Callithrix jacchus: one gene and its partner. The protein of the gene in region 1 interacts with the protein of each later gene in a biochemical or structural test. Links are inferred from orthologs where the notes say so. Each region holds a gene or a part of one and is shown in the gene's direction. Other genes may lie near its edges.

Region 1 (3,630 bases):
GGCTTCAGTTGTGTTCTTATTTATGCCTAAAGGCTGTCTCCTGTCTGCAGTAGAGCAGATGGTCGTGATTTATGTGTCATTTAGGGTCCATGGTTTAAACTGTGTGATTCTGAGAGTGGGTAGGGTTATTTGGCTGAGTGAGAGTGTCCTCAGTGGAAACAGTGCATATGGGGGGAGGGTCATGAGTTGGAGGCTCTTTAGAGACATGGGTTACAGTCAAGGAGATAGAAATCAGAGTTCAGAAAATGTTAGCCTCTTAACCATTCTCTTTTCCCATGGCAGGTGATGGAGTAAAAGAAATATATTCAGTGTGATGTGAAGGTTGATTCGAATGATTGATTCTTGAGAAAGCAGGCATTTCCAAACCAGCAGGTTGTAAAATACCTCCTCCTGTGGTCATGACAGCTCTGTGTTCTGAGTCGCTAGCTATGTTTCATTTGCTTGCAGTGTTTGTGTCTGGTGAGCACTAGGTTCTCATGGCCTCCTGTCTCATACGGGGCTGAACCTTGTTTTCTTGGTGGTTCATATCTTATGGGAGACAGAAAACATGAGACTTGCTCTTGCGAGATGATCTTGAGGCTGCTGCAGAATCATGGTCTTTATGATGAACTCTACTGTGCTGTGAATTCACCCATTGGGGTAACAACTCATTAGTGAGTTGTGAGATGAATTCAGTGGGTCATGGCAAGCATTAAAAATAAAGTATAATAGAAAATGTCAAGGTGCATTATCAAGTGACGAGGATTAATATTATTTCATGAAATGTGAACTTTTACTAGGTAATGCTGTGGAATTTAGTCTTACTGAGATTTGCATAAAAATATTAAAAAACATCAGTTTAACTTACTTCAAGTTGAATGACAGTTCAGTTGAATCCCACAAAAGTATTTTGCACATAATAATAGTGAGTATTTTTTGGAACACTTATGATATATCAGTAATTATTTTAAACATTTCCTTTATTCATTTCACGTTTACATGTATTTATCCTCACAATAACCCTGTTGAGGGTATAGACACTTTAGAGAAACTTAGAAGCCCCAGTACTTGCTTTTTGGGTACACTCAGTCTCGTGTGGGAGGCATAAGACTGGACAGTGGAGAAGTGTGGCGCAGTGGCTGTTCTGTAACCAGGAAGGGGGCAGAGGCAGCCATCAGGCACCTGATGGGTTCTGCATGGAGTCCCCTTTGAAAATCAGATCAGTTACTTTGGAGGAACATGTATTATTTGAAGAGTAACAGTTTTATGAAAAATTATGTGAGCTTCAGCTGTTTTAGAAAATGGGGCATACTGAATCTGCAGACGAAATGCAGGTTTTCAAGGCAGGTCATATCTTTACTATAAAAACCAAATTTGTACAAACTTGGCATTGTATTGTTGGGTGGGGAGTTCACATAAATTGGGCCACACTAAGGGTCTAGAAGTTTATTCTTTTGAATTTGCTTCTGCTGTAATTTTTGTTTATTTGTTCTATGTTCCTAGGTGTGCCTTCTTCTTCCTGCTCCTCCTCCTCACTGGAAAACATGCTTTTGTTTAACAGTCCTTCTGTGGGCCCTGATGCTCCCAAGATAGAGGACCTGAAGTGGCATTCTGCATTCTTCAGAAAACAAATGGGTACTTCCTTGGTTCATTCACTGAAAAAGCCCCATAAGCGAGATCCTTTGCAGAATAGCACTGGAAGTGAAGGCAAAACCCTGCTGAAGCAGCCAGACCTGTGTGGTAGAAGGGAGGGGATGGTGGTCCCAGAAAACTTTCTGGGTATTGAAAAGACCTTTGCAGAAGCACGTCTCATATCAGCACAACAGAAAAATGGTGTGGTGATGCCAGACCACGGGAAAAGAAGAGACAATCGTTTTCATTGTGATCTCATTAAAGGAGACTTAAAGGACAAATCTTTTAAACAGAGTCACAAGCCTCTCAGGTCCACAGATGTGTCCCAGAGGCACCTGGACAACACAAGAGCTGCCACCTCCCCTGGAGTGGGGCAGTCAGCACCTGGCACAAGGAAGGAGATCGTGCCCAAGTGCAATGGCTCCCTAATCAAAGTAAACTATAATCAGACCACAGTCAAAGTGCCTACAACACCTGCCAGCCCAGTGAAAAACTGGGGAGGATTCCGGATTCCAAAGAAGGGGGAACGGCAGCAGCAGGGAGAGGCCCATGAGGGGGCCTGCCACCAGCACTCAGACTACCCATATTTGGGCTTAGGCCGAGTTCCAGCCAAGGAAAGGGCAAAAAGCAAATTAAAATCTGACAATGAGAATGACGGGTATGTCCCCGATGTGGAAATGAGTGACTCAGAGAGTGAGGCATCAGAAAAGAAATGTATACACACCAGCAGCACTATCAGCAGGAGGACAGACATTATCAGGAGAAGCATCTTGGCTTCTTGATGCAACAGAGATGATGTGGAAGCCCTTTGGGCTTGTCATTGGGTGTGCTAGAGGAGAGCTCTGATGGGGGGAGAAGCAGAAACCCATTAATCCTGATCTACACAAACACATTTACTTGCAATTCAGATTAAATTTTTTTTCCAGAGTCATTTTAAAATCATTTTTGTGAGAAGTTTGTGTTATTTGCAACTTGTTGAGGAAACAGAAGAGTAGATTGTAACCATACAACACTGCTAAGACTAGAACCCGAACTAAACACTAAAATAAGAATGAAATAAATTTTAAAGAGGGCAAGGCTTAAATAAGCCTCCTGAATTTTTACAGCCCTCTGCATTCTTCCCAAAGCACAAACTCGTGGTTACCTGAATACAGGGAACCAGATACGGTTCTTGAGAAACCTTCATGGTACCATTCACAGCCCATAAAGCTTATTTTCTAGGACTGTGGTAGATCTTGAAATCATATTTATATTTGGCCATCAAGGCTATTTTTGTTACATTATAGTATACAGGCAGCAGCTCTGAAGCTTCAGTAACACTAGGGAATTTATGTGTAAATATAGCAGTCAGGGAAGAGAGTTTTAAAAAAGGTCATTATTGGCCGGGCGCGGTGGCTCAAGCCTGTAATCCCAGCACTTTGGGAGGCCGAGGCGGGTGGATCACGAGGTCAAGACCGTCCTGGTCAACATGGTGAAACCCCGTCTCTACCAAAAATACAAAAACTTAGCTGGGCATGGTGGTGCGTGCCTGTAATCCCAGCTACTCGGGAGGCTGAGGCAGGAGAATTGCCTGAACCCAGGAGGCGGAGGTTGCGGTGAGCCGAGATCGCGCCATTGCACTCCAGCCTGGGTAACAAGAGGGAAACTCCGTCTCAAAAAAAAAAAAAAAAAAAGGTCATTATTGGAGGAGCTGAGGGGACAGGGTGGAGCTGCTGCAATGTGGAGATTTAGGGCAAATGTAGCAAGGTCCTGCTGCTTGAAGCCTGTGAGTAGGTTGTGGATATGGGACTGGTAGAGAGTGAGACTGTTAGGAAAGTTGTATCTATGAATAAGGGCAGTTGAAGTACAATTTTTATCAGTCTACTTGACCTTTCTCTTCCCTAGCCACTGGCTATGGAGCCAGCTTGGGATTTCCCTGGCCATTGCCAATACCTGGCCATCTGGCTTCCACTAGTATAACAGCTACTCAAGTTCAAGTGAAGAACTTCCAGACTCTGGTGACTCTTACTTCCCAGAGCC
Region 2 (3,520 bases), on another chromosome or scaffold:
GAGCTATGATTGTGCCACTGCACTTCGGCCTGGGTGACAGAGGAGACCCTAATCTCAAAAAAGAGTTTTATATATCTATGCTTTTAAACAACTTTTTTTTTTTTTTTTTGAGACAGTCTTGCTCTGTCACCTAGGCTGGAGTGCAATGGTGCTATCTCCGCTCATTGCAGCCTCCACCTCCTAGGTGCAAGCAATTCTCCTGCCTCAGCCTCCCAAGTAGCTGGGATTACAGGCGTCTGCCACCATGCTTGGCTAATTGTACTTTTAGTAGAGATGGGTTGGCCAGTCTGGTCTCAAACTCCTGACATCAGGTGATCTGCCCGCCTCAGCCTTTCAAGTGTTAGGATTACAGGTGTGAGCCACAGTGCCTGGCCTTATACAACATTTAAAAATGCAAACTTTTAACTGCAGATGGCTGGCTGGCTGGTGGGCTGCATTAAAATAATTAGCACTTGAGGCTTTAGGAAAAGGGGGTACTTTGTGCCCCCTTGTGGCCAAGTGACCCTAGCTTTCTGCTGCTCAGCCAGGCTGCCTTGCCTTTTTTTTTTATTATTATTTTTTTTTATTTTAAGTCACAGGACTTTGTCTTAATTTCCTTATGCAACAAGGAACCTCCTCCTTGTTGAGGAGAGAAGGGGAGAAGGGCTGACAGGTAGTAGTGCGTGGTTTTTACCATCGTGAGTGGGTTTTCTAATCTGAACAAAGAAGACCATAATGATTAGGTGGTAATGAGAAGTTATGGGTAAAGGTGAGAGTAAAGTACTTAGCCACCCCAAGCTTCTGGAAATAAGCTGCTTAAGAATTTCCTGCCGGCTTGAGGCATTTGGTAATAAGCAAAGGTATTCTTATTTATTTGGCCTTTATGTAGTAGGTGATTTTAATCTCCTGGGCTAAAGCAGTGCCAGAATGTAAGCCAGAATACTTAGTTCCAGATTGCTATAAAAGTGTCATAAATATATTCAAATGACTTTGGAAGCCTTTGTTTTATGGAAAAAAAATCTCTGTTTTGCTGTATGTTCTCAGCGTGTCCGACTGTCCTATAGCTCATTAACCAGAGTTGACCTGTTACTCTTTCCTTTTTGAGAAGCAGTCTTGTTGGGAGGTGTTGGTTCCCTGATGTGAATTTCATTGTCTTGCAGGCCAAGTGTGTGTGGAAACACCCACCTGGTGATGAGATATATCGCAAAGGTTCCATCTCCGTGTTTGAAGTGGATGGCAAGAAAAACAAGGTAAAAAGTGGTGACTAGAAAGGAGTCGTAATGTATATTCAGAGGTTTCAGAAGAAATGTATTTTGTCTCTGTCACATCTCGGAGGACATGTTTCATTAACAATTATGGTATGTTTGAATTTTAGGCCTTTATCTGTCTAGGAATCAGTGGCCCACACATGAACTCTGTTTCTCTCTCTGCTTCCAGATCTACTGCCAAAACCTGTGCCTGTTGGCCAAACTTTTTCTGGACCATAAGACATTATATTATGATGTGGAACCCTTCCTGTTCTATGTTATGACAGAGGCGGACAACACTGGCTGTCACCTGATTGGATATTTTTCCAAGGTAAGCAGGATCTGGAGATGAATAAGCCAGTGGCCAGAGCAGGGTGATCGATGTTGGCAGTCGGGCAGCTAAAATCACTGACAGAAGAAGCTGTACTCTGGGCGTTGATGACACCCCATCCCTTAAATAAATTTTTTACGAAAGGCAAACACATGTATCAAAGATTGTTTAATGAAAATGAAGTTTTTATTAAAAGCTCTGGTTTATTCATTTCTAGAATTGTGGACTGGAGCTGCCTATTAGTGACTGGGCAGAGCCCTCCTTAGTATCCCGCAAGCCCACATCTTGTAGTCAAGCCAACTCTCCTGGCTTTGCCTGCCTCTGTGTTATTAGCTTAAAACCAGGGATATACTCCTTTAGCCTGATTGTTTAGCTGGACTCCTTTTAACACGGTCCCTTCAGTGATAACACCACTGTGCCTTTTAAAGACCCAAGGCCAGATTTTTTTTCCTTTCTTTCTTTCTTTTTTTTGAGACAGTCTCACTCTGTTGCCCAGGCTGGAGTGCAGCAGCGTGATCTCGACTCACTGCAACCTCCACCTCTGGGTTCAAGTGACCCTTCTGCCTCAGCCTCTTGAGTAGCTGGGATAACAGGTGCCCGCCACCACGCCTGGCTGATTTTTTGTGTGTTTTTAGTGGAGATGGTGTTTTACCATGTTGGCCAGGCTGGTCTCAAACTCCTGACCTCAAGTGATCCACCCTCCTCGATGTCCCAAAGTGCTGGGTTACAGGTGTGTACCACCGTGCCACGACCAAGGCCAGATATTGTTTATGGCCTTTAGTGTAACAACTTGATTGGAATATAATTCATACACCATAAATTCACGTACTGAAAGGCTACAATTTAGTGGTTTATAGTGTATTCACAGAGTTGTGCAGTCAACCCAGTTTGCATTATCCTAAAAAGAAATTCTTAGCAATCACTCCTGTTTTCACTCAGTCCCTCTCAGCCCTTCTCTATAAAGTTCCCTATTCTGGACATTTCTTATAAGTGGAATCATACATTTTGATTTGATTCAGTGTGATTGCTCTTTTTACCCTTTGCAGAATGGGGACCTACTGTATTTTTTTCCTTCCCTTTTCTTCCAGTAGGCAGCTCCTTTTCAAAAATTGCATTTAACCTTCTTGCCCTGCTCTGTGGCTGTTAGGAACTCAGAGTCAGCCCCCTTAAAATGAGACTAGAGGTCTCAGTTAGGGAAATCTGGATGATTAATGGCTTTAGCCATCATAAAAGGTGTGGATATAACAGCTATGCACCTGGCAGCCACTCCTTGGGACTGGTTAGCCAGGTGTTTTGCAAGCAACCTTATTTTATATCTGTGGAAGTGCTGAAATCTTTGGTTTCAAATCCTCATGACATGCTCATCTGTTTGCTCTTGATTTTAGGAAAAGAATTCATTCCTCAACTACAACGTATCCTGTATCCTTACCATGCCTCAGTACATGAGACAGGGCTATGGCAAGATGCTCATTGATTTCAGTAAGTGAAACTGCTAAGTCATAAGTTCTACACTTATGGCAGGGACCATGTGAATGTTGTTGTTTGTCTTTTTGTCCTGTGGTCTCTGCAATTCCTGGAATGTAGTGGAGGTACATGGATATTTAGTAAATGAATGAACAAGTAGGAAAAACCTGAACATTGTCATTCTGCCTGATACACCTTGAACATTGAAGGAATACTTAATTAGTAGGAGGTACAGAGGATGATAATGTAAGCTCTTTAGGATTATCCCAGTTTGCGACTTTTAAAGAGCACATGCATGCATGAGGCTTAAAAATCTGTTTCTTGATGCTAGGGATTTCACTTTTGTAGGGACTTGTCTAGAGGTAATATATATACCCGATGGACCCTTAGTGTAATGTACTCTGCCCTCATTAATTGTGGATTCTGTCTGTGAATTTGCTTACTCACTAAATTTTATTTTTAACCCCCAAATCAGTCCTAACATTTTTGTAGTCATTCG

What was found. The genes of interacting proteins can lie anywhere in the genome.
Region 2: the proteins of JADE1 (region 1) and KAT7 form a complex in vitro, tested with the Homo sapiens proteins (2 studies listed by BioGRID). The link is inferred for Callithrix jacchus from reciprocal best matches to the Homo sapiens genes JADE1 and KAT7.

What each region holds. Positions count from the first base shown.
Region 1 is NC_133504.1:68,405,207-68,408,836, reverse strand, and holds the end of JADE1 (protein Jade-1), read left to right. Parts: intron 1-282; exon of another isoform or gene 283-459; intron 460-1,482; coding exon 1,483-2,393; 3' UTR 2,394-3,114; downstream 3,115-3,630.
Region 2 is NC_133506.1:116,500,703-116,504,222, reverse strand, and holds part of KAT7 (histone acetyltransferase KAT7), read left to right. Parts: intron 1-1,139; coding exon 1,140-1,229; intron 1,230-1,416; coding exon 1,417-1,557; intron 1,558-2,942; coding exon 2,943-3,036; intron 3,037-3,520. UniProt on the Homo sapiens protein: Catalytic subunit of histone acetyltransferase HBO1 complexes, which specifically mediate acetylation of histone H3 at 'Lys-14' (H3K14ac), thereby regulating various processes, such as gene transcription, protein ubiquitination, immune regulation, stem cell pluripotent and self-renewal maintenance and embryonic development.